3 linked regions of the Drosophila melanogaster genome follow. The protein of the gene in region 1 interacts with the protein of each later gene in a pairwise test. Each region holds a gene or a part of one and is shown on either strand. Other genes may lie near its edges.

Region 1 (5,041 bases):
AAACCTGGACTTGGCGGGCAAGCGGGTGTTGATGCGGTAATCCAAAGCCAATCCTCGCGTGAAATTCAGTTGCATAAACATTGCCCGTGCTTCTTTGCAGCGTCGACTTCAATGTGCCCATCAAGGAGGGCAAGATCACCAGCAACCAGAGAATTGTCGCTGCCTTGGATAGTATCAAGTTGGCCCTTTCCAAGAAAGCCAAGTCGGTGGTGCTGATGTCCCACTTGGGTCGTCCCGATGGCAACAAGAACATCAAGTACACCCTGGCACCCGTGGCCGCTGAGCTGAAGACCCTGCTTGGCCAGGATGTGATCTTCCTAAGTGACTGCGTCGGCAGCGAAGTGGAGGCCGCTTGCAAGGATCCCGCACCGGGATCCGTCATTCTGCTGGAGAACGTCCGCTTCTACGTGGAGGAGGAGGGCAAGGGCTTGGATGCCAGCGGCGGCAAGGTCAAGGCCGATCCTGCCAAGGTCAAGGAGTTCCGTGCCAGCCTGGCCAAGCTGGGCGATGTCTATGTCAACGACGCCTTCGGCACTGCCCATCGCGCCCACAGTTCCATGATGGGCGATGGCTTCGAGCAGCGCGCAGCTGGTCTGTTGCTGAACAAGGAGCTGAAGTACTTCTCGCAGGCCCTGGACAAGCCACCAAATCCCTTCCTGGCAATTCTCGGTGGCGCCAAGGTGGCCGACAAGATCCAGCTGATTGAGAACCTTCTGGACAAGGTCAACGAGATGATCATCGGTGGCGGCATGGCCTTCACCTTCCTGAAGGTCCTCAACAACATGAAGATCGGCGGTTCCCTGTTCGACGAGGAGGGCTCCAAGATCGTCGAGAAACTGGTGGAGAAGGCCAAGAAGAATAACGTGCAGTTGCATCTGCCAGTGGACTTTGTCTGCGGCGACAAGTTCGCCGAGAACGCTGCCGTCAGCGAGGCCACCGTGGAGGCCGGAATTCCCGATGGACACATGGGTCTGGATGTGGGTCCCAAGACCCGTGAGCTCTTCGCGGCACCCATCGCACGCGCCAAGCTCATCGTGTGGAACGGGTAGGTGTCACACTGAAGCTACTTCTCCAAATGTCCTATAATGGTTTTCCCATTTTAGACCCCCCGGTGTCTTTGAGTTCCCCAACTTCGCCAACGGCACCAAGTCCATCATGGACGGCGTGGTGGCCGCCACCAAGAACGGCACCGTCTCCATCATCGGCGGCGGCGACACTGCCTCTTGCTGCGCCAAGTGGAACACGGAGGCACTCGTCTCGCACGTCTCCACCGGAGGCGGCGCTTCGCTGGAGCTCCTGGAGGGCAAGACACTGCCAGGCGTGGCTGCATTGACCAGCGCCTAAGCGTACATATATACGGTATATTAATGTTAATCGCATCGTTTACCTTGTAAGCACAAACCACGACGTTAAAAAGTGTTGAATCTATTTGTTGCGGAACCATATAATGCATACGAAATAAAGGAATCCTAGTTTATTTGCGGGCAAAGTTGCTGTCCATTGAGGAGGCGGTGCGCTGTATGTTGTTGAGATTGGCCCGGATGCGATCGCCAATTGAGTTATGGTTGGCAATGGCCTTCTTCACCTCCTTGTTAATGAACTCCTTGTCGAAGTCTCGTTCACGATTTTGGGCCTCCTCGCGCGCGTATGCTTCTCGGTGCTTGCGAACCACCTGGCTGCGATCCGCTTCTCTCCAAGTGGCGTTGTCCATCATTTCGCGCAGGCGAGCTTCTCGGTCGGCTTCGCTTAACTTTGGCTTGCCGGTGGGACGGCTGGGAGGCGGTCTTTCGGCAATCCTTCGCTTGTCATCTCCTTTGGAACTTCGGCTCCTGCTGCGTTTTGATCTGGAACGCTCTTCAGGTGTCCTACTCCTGCGTTTCTCGCGCTGCTTTGAAGTGTCCTTGCTTTGACGTCTGGCTTTTCTGTCCTCTGGGCTCCTGGTTCTTCTCTGTCTTCTCGCTAAGGGACTTCTGCTCCTGCTCCTGCGCCTTTCCCTTCTCTCTTCTGGACTCCTTTGCCTTTGCCTTTGTTCCGGACTTCTACTCTGTCGCTTTTTTCTATCCCGGGGGCTTCTACTCCTGCGTCTTTCTCGCTGATTTCTGTCCTCTGAGCTGTGGCTCCTTTTGTGCTTTCTCCTTGGCTCTTCCTCTTCGTCACTACTTTCGTCACTGCTATCGCTGCTTTTCTTCTTCTTGGATTTCTTGCTCTTTTTCTTCTTGGTGGCCATGTCTAATTGATTTGAAATGGTGCGGTACTTGGCGTCCAGCAGCTTGTCCAGTTTAAGGTCACCTTGGTCTCCCTTGAGTTTGCTCACTTGGCGGGCTAATTTTCTGTCCAAGTCATCGTCGCTATCATTGCTCTCGCTGTCACTACTTTCCTCATTGCTGGATCGTCGGTTCTTCTTCTTCTTTTTGGATTTCTTAGACTTTTTGTTCTTCTTGTTCTTCTTCTTTCCCTCTGCGGCCTTTTGTTCCTGTTCAGTCTTGAGAATGCGATGGATTTCCTTCAGCTTGACGGGGTTCTCAAGCAGCTTTCGACGGGATTCCATTTCGCGCTGCTTGATGAGCATCAGGGGATCCTCGAGGGTCTTGCGCTGTATGTCCACCTGTTCGTTGGACTGCACATTGCGGTAGGTCCGGATGGAGAAGGGCACACAGTCGTGCTCCACATGGTTGATCGTTTGCTTGAGACCCACTGTGTTCTGCTCCTGGCGGCTTTCCTCCGCTTGCAGCGTCTCAAAGGACTTGTCGATCTTACGGCCCAGGAGGTACTCCTCGCGGTTGATCAGCTCTGTGCTGTCTGGAGCAAGATAAATATGTATGGATAATGAGTTTTATAAGAGTTTCACATGTATGACTCACTTTTGTACATCCACTCCAGCTTGGCCTCGCCGGCGGCTCCGCCATTATTGCTCAGCACTCCGGAACTTTCGCCCAATCGCCTTAGTTCCTCTCTGTCCCGCTCCTCGTTGATCTCCTTGCGCAGATCCTGCAGCTTGCGCTCCTCCATCTTCGCTTGCTCCTCCGCCTTCCAAACGCGCTCCTGGTTTTTCATCGTGTGCGGATGCCATGATTTCTTCAGATTCTGCGGGAAAAATCAATGGTAATTGACGGATAATCAGTTGGGAGACATTACTTACTAGATCTCCGCCACCCATCTTGGGTTTGATTTGCGTTTTAACAGCAAAACAAACAAATTACAAACAATTCCAGATTTTCCCTCCTTTTCTGTTGTTTTCAACAAAATCATATGTTCGCCCGGGCTGCCAGATCGTGGTGAAGTAATTTAACTTGGTGTTGCCATAGGGTTACATTTTTCTTTTACTTTTTCGAAAATTATTGAAAATAGTTAATTTAGTTACTTATTTTCATAATTACTTCCTCATCGTGCATTGTATTTTCAGTCAAAAACAGGTAATAAATTTATTTAATATGCTTCCAATTCGGCAGAGTTTATACCAAAGAGCTCAAACTCGATTTACAAAATTAAGATTTCCAAGATTTTTTAGCAAAGACGATTGCAATGGAAAGCAAGTAAAGAAGTTGAGCTTAAAAAATGTAGATGTGGCTGGGAAAAGGGTTTTTATGAGGTGAGTATCCTTGCCAGATATGTTTTAGTGTGTGATTTATAAATTTATTTTTAGAGTGGACTTTAATGTACCCATGAAAGATGGCAAAATAACCAACAACCAACGAATTGTTTCCGCACTTCCCAGTATTAAATATGCCTTGGACAAGAAATGTAAGTCCTTGGTGAGTTGATATATCTTCCTTCAATTCCTAAAAAGTATAGAACGAATAACTTAATTTTTTGCCTAGGTTTTGGCATCCCACTTGGGGCGTCCGGATGGCAAAAAGAACAAAAAGTTTAGCCTGGAACCCGTGGCCAAGGAGCTGGAGAGTGTGCTGGGCCAGCCGGTTCAATTCCTGGACGACTGCGTGGGTGATAGCACCCTGAGAGCTTTGAAGGATCCCTCCGACGGCACTGTGTTCCTGTTGGAGAATCTTCGTTTCTATGCCGAGGAGACGGGCAGCAGCAAGGACGATAACAAGAAGAAGGTCAAAGCAGATCCCGCGAAGGTGAAGGAATTCCGAGCCAAGTTGGCGCAGCTGGGCGAGATCTATGTGAACGATGCCTTTGGAACAGCACATCGTCCGCATAGTTCCATGATGGGCGATGGCTACAAGGTGCGAGCGGCTGGTTTCCTGCTGGACAAGGAACTGGAGTACTTTGCCAAGGTTCTCCACGATCCGGCCAAGCCCTTTTTGGCCATTCTGGGTGGCGCCAAGATAGCCGATAAAATTCCACTGATAACGAACCTCCTGAACAATGTAACGGCCATGATCATATCCGGTGGCATGGCCTTCACCTTTCTCAAAGTGCTCAATGGCATGGAGATTGGAAAGTCCCTCTTCGACGAGAAGGGATCCGAGTTGGTCAACGACATAGTCTGCAAGGCGAAGGAGAAGGACGTGAATATACTATTTCCGATTGACTTTGTCATAGCCAATAAGATCGACAAGGAGCCGGATAAAGTGGAACATGTGGATGCCACACAGGGCATACCGGAGGACATGATGGGTCTGGACCACGGCCAGGCATCCAGTCAGATGTTTGCTGGCGCTATTTGTGCATCCAAAACCATCGTCTGGAACGGACCGCCAGGCTTGTTCGAAAACGAGCTATTCTCCAAAGGCACCGAGTCCATGCTGGAGGCAGTAATCGGGGCCACTAACCGAGGAGCCACCACAATCGTTGGTGGTGGGGATACGGCCACCGCTTGCTTGAAGTTCGGAGGCGCCGACAAGGTCTCGCATGTGTCCACCGGTGGAGGAGCTTCCCTGGAGTTGCTGGAGGGTAAGGTTCTGCCTGGAGTGGCTGCTCTTTCGGATGCCTAAACGCACTGCTTTACAATGGTTATTCCACTTATATGTACATGTATCTTAAATTCAATTTGGACAATTTAAACAATCAGTCTCTCAAAATACAAAGTTATTTTTATTGTGGAATAACATTAGTCGGTTAAAACGTGATAAAAGGG
Region 2 (4,837 bases), on another chromosome or scaffold:
TAACTCTCTTTCAAAATAGTTTTTTAAATAATTTATCCGCAGCCGTATTCTGTTCCTTGATTTTTGAGCCTGTCATGCAGTACGAGGGCAAAGAGGATGCTTCTATTGAGCAGGTCCTATCCAGTTCCGAGAGTGGAATGCGATTCAAGAACTCAGTTTATGAATCGGAAAATATAAAAAAGAAATTAAGTGTCACACTGCCTTTTCTGGATCAGTTTGGATTGCTGGATGACATGTAATGATAATCTTGAACTTGTGTAAATAGTTAAAATAAATAAAAGTTTAAGTACTACTACGTATTGGCTCAACTACGTCGTTGCTTTTAATTTCCTGGGAAAATACTTATCTAATAGCTTGATTGCACTTTATGTGTGTAATTCGGCAATAACTGACCTTTTTATATGAAATACAGTGTTCATGACTGATAATAGCGCTTTCGAGTTTATTTCGGCAAGATAGTGCTAAACTCTTGACAAACAAAAGGTGCAAGCAATACTAAAAATCTCAGAAGATAACAATTACAAGCCCTTGAATCGTGGTGAAATAGAAACAATCGCGATACGCCAAAAGATAAGCCGCAGATGTTTTAGCTAATAAAAGAAACTAATATTTACCTACAACAAATAAATACGAATACGAATGTATTTAACAAGTCAAGGTGTACTACTGAGGAAAAAACTTGTAAGTGAATTGTTGCGTCCCCCTTATAACTCATACGCACCGTTGGCCCGCTTATCGTTTGCTTTAAAACGTCACATTTAATATAGTTTTATGAATACAAACATTTACAATAGAACCATTGTGTGTTCTATTTCTAATCTTATTGCTTACCAACTTGCAATAAAAATGAACTGCTTTTCATATGGTTTTAACTTCAAAATAAAATTTGTTTTTATTTTTTATCAAATACTCGTAGTATATGATGGCTTCCATTCAGTCAATTACGTCTAGTAGACCACTCCGATCGAAGCGTGGCAGCTCGCGTTTGAGATTGTCCTGCAACCTCTTGTTGGTGTACAATACCTTCCGGAAGTTACGGCCTCGTTCGTCATCCTTCATCAAAGCATTAAAGTCGGCATCGGCGTTTTGGTCATTGGTCAATATGGCCTGGCAGACCAGAGCGACTGTGACAGCTGTTAGATACAATAATATAAACAATTATAATGGGTTTTTGAAAATCATTCCAGATGGGACTCACCAAAGAATCTGCCCCTTTCGAGCTGCAGGACGAACTGCCTCAATGTGGGAATGTAGCCACCAAAGTTGAGATCCTTAAGCGTTTCCACGAGCACCGTGTGATAATACTGAAACAGGGCATCCTGCTGTTCGTAGCGAATATCGACCTGCACCGAAGTGTTGAAGAAGTAGTGCAGATCCACCGCCGGCGAGGACCAACTGCAGAATTGGAAGTCGATGAGAGTCATGTCCAGTGGCTCCTTATTTTCGCCGTAGCGCAACATCACATTGTTCACCCAGTAGTCACCGTGCACCAATGTATTAAAATCTCCCGGTTGGGGATCGTAAACTCTTGTGGAGTACTCCATTACACGTTCCTGCAGCTTCTTCAATTTGGTAGCATACCGCTCACCCAATTCGGGACACTCCCTGGCAAAGTCAGCCGCCACGCCCACCGTATTCACAAAGAAGGGTGCAAAGGCCTGGGTGTGGCGATTGAAGATGCCGTGATCGAACTTGGTCAGCAATCCGGGTTGACGTTCGTTCAGAACAGCAGCGGCCGCATGCATCTTGGCCAGCTTTCGGAGTCCCAAGCGGGTGTGCTCCAGATCGAAACCAACCAGACGATCGGCCAGGACATATTTCGTCACCGCAAGGTCCTCAAAGATGATGGCCTCGTGCTCGTAGTCCACATGCAATGTCTTGGCGAAAACCTTTTCCGGCTGGCGAGTCTTCTCGATGAGCGAGCTCAATTGGGGCAGGATCTTCTCGTACATACGCATTTCCGTGGTGCTAACCTGGTACTGGGAAAATATTCCAGAGGCGAAGGCATCGTTCTCATAGGTGGTCTTCACAATATAGTATTCAGTCTCGGGGCTTTTGGCGCCACTTTTCAAGAACAAAATCCGCACGCGTGTCATCACACTAGCATAATTGTCACCCTTGGCAGTGGCGGGCTTGATCACCAAATCGGTGATCCTCAGTCCCGGATCATTCTTCAAATCCCGGAGCAGTCGCTCCAAGTAGGTTTCATCTAGCCACTCTGGCGCCGGATGAAATTCGGTAGCGTCTTCCTTGCCCTGCTCCACCATGATGATGCTCGACTTGTGTTCTGGATCACTTGGTCCAGTCGAAGGCCCCATTTATAGGCAGCCGGAAGACGCAATCTCGCCGACAACAGATCCCACATTATGGTAGCCGTAAAGCAAGCTGGCTCAGACAATTACGTAGCTGCTGCCCGTGGATTTCGATTCATACGACAGAGATTCGTGAGTATCTAAAGCTGACTAGATAGAAGCAGATCTCGGAGCGCGACACTTGACAGGGTGAGATAACACCCCCACATCTCGCAAATCGGTGCACGTTCCTATATATGATGTAAGTGTGCCCGCCGTAATTCATGCCGAATGGTGCTGACGTGGCGTCTAAAGATCGCTCTCGTGCTCGCGTCAAACTAATCTACTTCACAGCCCATAAATCCATCTGCCGTCCATCCATTTGCATAGTTGAGCCGGATAGTTAAGCTATTTACAGACTTACAATGGTTTCGTTTTTTATTTCCTAGTATTTAACGTTCTACGTATTTATAATAATCAGTCGGAAACTTTGAATTTCACAAGGATTTTCGAAACAGAATAGCCCAGAAGGAAAATAGTTAAACAAGTTTTCAAGTGCCAAGATAATGGGTAGAGGAGATAAGATTTCCCCTGCATACTTTCAGGTGTAGCCGATAACAATCTTGAATGTACATTTGTATATATGTCGGGTCTTCCTTTATCTAGCAACAGAATTTTTATTTTCATCTGTTCGAGGATTTACGATCTGTTTATTTTCAAGAGGAGCTTTGAATACGGCACTGCCTACTTTTGAGCGAATACCTTTTCTGTTTTCCTGCTGAATGTATTCTGTAACATACCTTCCAACTTGAGAATTTCTTTGATGGTCAACTTATTAGGTACGCATATCCGTTTTCTTTCTTTTCTCATTAATAAATTAAAAATTGTGATATTGTCAATTGGAGATAATGCACCTAAATAAATAAAAAACGATCCATTACATATGTCAGATTCAAAACATGTCTTACATATTCTCTTTAATTTTTTTTAGGAACGATACATTATTTTGCTTTTTGATTTTATACCAAAAATTATTATGACCCACTTATGAGAACACAAGTGTTATTCTTATCTCAATGTTTTAAAAATAGCTTATACGACATGTTGGCCATTTTATGTCTCAGATCAAAAATGTCCCAACCGTATTGCACTAGTCCCTTGAATTTTGGAAAGTCAAATATCCCATAACAGAGATAAACATTTAATTTAAAATGAGATTGTTTATTATTATTTAAACTTATAGACATAAAACGTGGAAGCCCAATAAAACATATCCTAATAATCTCTTAACAGGTCTGGTTAACTTCCAGCAGTCCCTTTCTATCGAAGAAGGGAACCAGGGAATGTAAATTTTGTTGAACTGTAGGGTTGTTATATAATCGGTTCTTAAACCGAATGCCACGCTCATCATCGTTCATCAAGGCATTGAAACAGGCATCCGTGGGATCCTGGCTAATCATAACTGGCTGCACCACTACCGTAGAATGCAAAGCTATAAAGAATATACAATTATTTAAAAAGAAATTACATTTTGTGATTAAATATACCACCTACCAAAGAATCTCTTTTGCTCCACCTCCAATTTAAACTGATGCAAACTGGGAATCTGATTTTGACGATAGTTGAGCTTTTCTAACGTCTCAGTGAATATCTTGTGGTAGAACTGGAAGAGCCCGTTCTGCTGATCTCTACGCAGTGGCTCCTTTAGAGAAGTATTGAACAGGTGATGGAGATCGATGCATGGGGAGCCCCAGAAGGAGTACTGGAAGTCAATGAGCAGCACATCGACGGGTCGTCCCGTATTCGGATCGTACTTGAACATCACATTGTTGGTCCACACATCGCCATGGGCCAGAACATTAACTTGACCCGGAGTGGGTGCAAAGCACTCCCTGCCGATGTCCATGTAGTGCGGAGCCAAAGCGAATAGCTTCTCTCCGTAGTGGGCCAACGTGGGCACCTTGCTCATCCAGCGAGCGGCGGCCAGCAGACCACCCACAAAGTAGCCACTGTAGGCGTTTGTATAGCGATTAAAGAAACCACGATCGTAACTTTCGAGGCATCCACTTTGTCGCTCGTTCAAGACCGCTGTGGCGGCATGGAATTTGGCCAACTTGCGCAGGATGAGGTGAGTGTGCTCCTCGTTGAGGCGACGCACTCGATCGGCCATTACGTAGCCCACCACAGAAAGATCTTCGAAGATAATGGCCATACGCTCGCGATCCACATAGATGGCCGTGGGAAATATCCTTTCAGTATCTCCGATCTCATTAAGCAGCTCCCTGCATTTGGGCAGCACTTCCTGGTAGATGGTCATCTCGCGGTTGTAAATATCATATGGGGCCATCAGTTCCTGGGTCAACTCATCATCATCGATTTCCGTCTTTACAATCAGGTTCTGCACATTTTTCTCCTTGTTAGACAGTGTGAACTCCACTCGAGCACGGGTCAGAACTCCGCCGTAGTTTTCACCAGGCCCCAGGGCGGGATTTATCTGCAGCTGAGTTATGGTTAGTCCTTCATCCTTGTAGTGGCAGCGAAGTGCA
Region 3 (4,396 bases), on another chromosome or scaffold:
CGATTGGCAGCACAACAACAAGACGGCACAGCACTTACCCTTTGCCCACACACTGTATTTGGGGCCCAGCAGGATAATCCGCCGCACCATGCTCATGGTGGCTGCTGCCCGCCGCCTCTGTGCCTCTGTTCCGTCTACCGCTTCCTCCGCGCCCGCTGCAGTTGCTCCTGGACTCGGATTCCCCTGCGCCCCTGCTTTGCACCGATTTGCTACTCAGCTGGCGGCCGCTTCTTCTTCTTGCTCTGCTGATCTGCAAAGTTATTGTTGTGACTTCTGCTGGGGATGCCTCGCTTTGCAGGGATTGCTTTTCTATATCCACTTGTTGGTTATCCGTCGCTCGCCAAAGTGCGTCGCAATTTGGATGATTTTCCGCCTGCCTTGCTGTATTTTCGGTGGAAAATGGGGGGAATAGATTGCGCTCTGCACGTAATTTTTGTGGCTGTGTGCGTGCGTGTGATTCTCGTTGTTTTGGCTGCCCCACTCGCTCTGCTTCTTCTTGCCAAATCGGTCACTATACTGTATTAAAAGATCCACAAATTTCTAGGGTCTCCAGCATTATCTGATCCACTTTTTGTCTCTTGTAAGTACTCGGAAAATCTGGAAAAATCGCAGCAATCCAACTAAACGATTACGATATCAATCGATTGTTGTTATCGGTCTCAGCTGTTCGCCGTTCTTCTTCTTGCCAATCTTTGGTGAAGCCGCGCAACGCACAGTGGAACACAAAGTGACACAAAGTGGACAAAAACGAGGAGCCAAATAGTGTGGCTTGGAACTGGGAATTTAGCTGTCTACTGGAATTTTGACTGTGTCGAGGCCGGAAAAGTAAATTTCTAACACGAAAGTATAAAAACGTAAATTTCAGAAAGATCACTTTTTTTCTAAAGCATTCTGAGTTGAATTTCAACGTGGCATACATTTACACTACTTTACACTTAAGGGCTATAGTAAGCATAGTTAATAGCCGGGTATGATGCGACCCCTCTTGCTGGCCGTCTTTAGTTTCCGGTTCTTCTTGTCCTTGCTGCGCTTCTCCAGGTTCTCCTGTCGCTTCTTTTGCCTCTTTTCCTTGTCGTGCTCCACCTTCTGCTTGCGTTCAGTCCACTTGGTCTTGGACTTCTTCTTCTCCACGCGCCGCTTCTTGATGGCCTTTTGCAGCAGCTTGGTGTCGTCCTTGACCTTCTTGCCCTCGACCTTGTCGAATGCGTTGCGCCAGGCGATGTCCGTCTGGATCTCCGCCGCCTTGTCCGTTTCGCCCTGTTCGCGCAGTTCGGTTAGGTGCTTCTTGGTGTCGCGCAGCTTCTTCAGAATCTCCTTGGGGTTTTGGTGAGACTTCTTGGCTTTGCCTCCAGGATTGGCGGCAAAGTCCACCTTGGAGTAGACGATCTTGGCCTCCTGGTTGTAAACCGGTTGCACCTTGACCGGCTGGATCTGTTCCTTGCTGTCCTCCGTCTCCTGTTCTGATTTCACCACGCCATTCTTCAGTTTCTGGTGCTTGACGTTCTCGTTTTTGAGGTTTTTGGCCGAGGAGAGGAGCAGTTTCTGGACGCCCTTGCTGCGTTTAAGCTTTTTAGATTCGCGTCGCTTCTGCTGTCGCTCCGTTGTGGGTCCCTTTTTCTGGCGCAGCTTGTTCTTGATGGAGGCAATGCGTGCCTCTACATCCTCGTCGTCGGAGTCTTGGTTTTTCAGTTTTCCCTGTTGTTTCTTTTTCTTGTTTCCCGATTCCTCCGTGTCCGACAGCAGGTACTCTTCGTAGGTCTCCTCATCTGTAGGAAATACGATAAAGTTAAAGATTTAAGGCTTTTCATTAATGGTTTCACCTTCTTGTTTGGAGTAGGGCACTTTGTGAATGGTCAGCAGTTCCAAGACTCGCTGATAGAACTTTTTGGTGATGGCGGGCAGGTCCTCCTTCTCCGGCTTCTGATCCTTGTTGTGTTCGATTTCATACTCCTCCCGCAGACATTTCACGATCTCCGCCTGGGTCATTTTCGAGAGTAAAATAACAATAAAACTATTATTTACGCACGCACACGTGCAGCTAAGCAAGGCGGTCGAGTTCAGTGTGACCCCACAGAATTCGGGTGTTTTCGACAGTGGTTACCCTAGCGCAAATGTCTGGTACCGCTACAAGTAGTAAGGGGTATTCCCCTATTCAGCGAATTTAAGCAATGGTTTCAGATTAAAGGAGATTGAAATTTAATAAACATTAATTAACCATTGCTTAAATTCATAATTCTAGCCTAAGCTCTGAGAAATCTCAACAGGCATTTATCAAACAGTGTTACCAAATACGAACTTTCGAAAAAGGCGCTCTCCAGCCTTTTGTCATTTCCCAGCGCTCCCGCTGCGGTCACACCCGCCTCACTTTTCCGTAAAACATCGTTGAAGAATGACTAATTTGCCTGTTTTAAGTATTTACTCAATGCCCAGCTAATTGCACATCGCAAACAAACACACAGCAGTTCAGTTCAAGTTGGAGACGCGAGCGGCACCAGCGAATCAGCCAAGATGAAGAGGCAGTTTGCCAAAATCAAAATAGCAGCCGAAAATCTGTCAAGGTAAGTTCAAAGGCCAGCCAGTCTGTCGGTCGGATGTCTGTGGGTGTGTGTTTGTGTAAGTGCGCTCCAGGTGGACAGACAGGTGTGTGTTGCCTCATCACGAAAGAAGCAACAGCAGCAGCAGCAACAACAACAAAAGCAGCAGAGAAGCAGCCACAGAGCAACTGCATCAATAACAAAGCGCGATGACAGCCGTAACAATAGTGGACTGCCGATGATGACCTAACCCGTGCTAAACCCGTGTCAAAATGGTCCTTTTCGCATTCGCAGATCGAGCAAGTCGGACAGCAAGGACTCGGAGCTGGAGGCGATCGAGCGGCAGGTGGACAGATACCGGGACACCATCGAGAAGATCGTCCGCAAGCTGCCGGCGCTGAGCGGCGGAGGCGGAAGTGGAAGCGGGAGCAGCGAGGAGCAGGACAAGCGGACCAAGAAGAACAGTCACTACAAGATTGCCCAGGCTCTGGACGAGTCCGCCAAGGAGCTGCCCAAGGACATGCCGCTGCAGAAGGTCCTCGCCAATTGCGGTTAGTAATCGGGCAACCGGGATTTCCAGTGAGGCAGGCAGTTGCGTAGGCGGTCATTCGCCAGAGGGGGAAGTTACAGAATTTGTTCTTCATCAAGTGATTATATTGATATTGCTTTAGGTACCTAGCTTATCATAGTTTGTTAGCATGTTAGCTTAAACATCCATATGATGTTTCTTACAATCTGAAAATAGTTCCCAGCTGAGAGCCCCTCCTTGCAGCGGCAATCAGCCATGCCTACGGCCCTGGTGGGTGTCATGTTGTCGCTGCTGATAAGGCGCACAGTGGTTGTCGTTCGCTCCAAATCCGATAATCGCCGCCAGACATGCACAATGGCACACGAACACGAGTACGGGTTCGCAGGGGGCTTGGAGAACACACTACAGTGGATGACTGTGTCACGGGCTTCGGTTTGTCTGTGTGTATTGGCGGCCTCGCCTTGTCGCTTGGCCTTGTGGCATTTACATTTCTCAACTGCAAACGGCAACATCAACATCGACATCCACATCGACGGCGTTTTTTAATCATTATTATAATTTTTATTATGACTTTTTCGCCGCTTTCTTTCGCAGCCCGTTCGCCCGCAGTATTGGTATTGGTTATTATTTGCGGTTTCGGCATTGTCTATTTATACACCTTTTTGTTTTGCCAGCCAAGTTAGCCCGCCCCCATTGGCGCCCGTTTTTATTGCCCTGCTTCCATACAATTCACTGCCCGATTCACTATGCATTTCATTTAAATTTGTTACACATCGCGCGCGAAGTGGCATAACAAAGCCCGGTAAACGGCGATAATTATGCTAGCTGCTTGGCTAGCTGTGGCTAGTAAAAGTAAAAGTCTGGGCCAAATTCATACATCATCGTATCGTCATGATCTCTTCTTCGCTGTTCATTTATTATTATTTGGTGGGCGCTCCCCCTAGGTCGCATTACTCATTCCGAGTGTTATTTTTATTTGCCTGTATTATTTCCATTCGCTGTTTCCCCCTTTCAGGCACTCTGCATTCCACATATTCGCAGATGCGTGTGCGTCAATTGCAATTGCCAGTTCTGCCGCAGTTGCAGCGATTCAAGAGCATCTCGGTGGTTGTGTAACGGCCAGGGATCTGGAGAGCCCCCCCCCCCTTTTTTTTTTTAGTTCCCCACGTTCCTGATTAGACACGAACGCTTACACATGCAACTATCGCAGCCACAGTGAACGTGTGTCCGTGGGTTAAGTGGAAGCTCCATTCGAATGCTCGGGAAATCATAATTGGGTCAAGCTGCGGAAATCGATCGCCAAACGATGCAAACATTATTTTTGAAAGGGCTA

The links. The genes of interacting proteins can lie anywhere in the genome.
Region 2: the proteins of Cwc25 (region 1) and CG10513 interact in a two-hybrid assay, tested with the Drosophila melanogaster proteins (one large-scale study listed by BioGRID).
Region 3: the proteins of Cwc25 (region 1) and Surf6 interact in a two-hybrid assay, tested with the Drosophila melanogaster proteins (one large-scale study listed by BioGRID).

The regions. Positions count from the first base shown.
Region 1 is NT_033779.5:2,743,315-2,748,355, reverse strand, and holds Cwc25 (Cwc25), read right to left. Parts: upstream 3,259-5,041; 5' UTR 3,158-3,258; coding exon 3,140-3,157; intron 3,085-3,139; coding exon 2,862-3,084; intron 2,800-2,861; coding exon 1,475-2,799; 3' UTR 1,412-1,474; downstream 1-1,411. Other genes in the region: Pgk (phosphoglycerate kinase), read left to right, coding at 1-36, 101-1,045, 1,104-1,344; CG9961 (uncharacterized protein), read left to right, coding at 3,432-3,589, 3,644-3,752, 3,819-4,898.
Region 2 is NT_033777.3:25,274,928-25,279,764, forward strand, and holds CG10513 (uncharacterized protein), read right to left. Parts: upstream 2,286-4,837; 5' UTR 2,268-2,285; coding exon 1,199-2,267; intron 1,134-1,198; coding exon 934-1,133; 3' UTR 863-933; downstream 1-862. Other genes in the region: CG11878 (uncharacterized protein), read left to right, coding at 43-239; CG10514 (uncharacterized protein), read right to left, coding at 3,578-3,783, 3,846-4,837.
Region 3 is NT_033777.3:19,902,803-19,907,198, forward strand, and holds Surf6 (surfeit 6), read right to left. Parts: upstream 2,067-4,396; 5' UTR 1,987-2,066; coding exon 1,821-1,986; intron 1,767-1,820; coding exon 958-1,766; 3' UTR 863-957; downstream 1-862. Other genes in the region: ClpX (caseinolytic protease chaperone subunit), read right to left, coding at 39-96; RhoGAP92B (Rho GTPase activating protein at 92B), read left to right, coding at 2,509-2,558, 2,829-3,085. UniProt on the Drosophila melanogaster protein: Involved in a nucleolar function.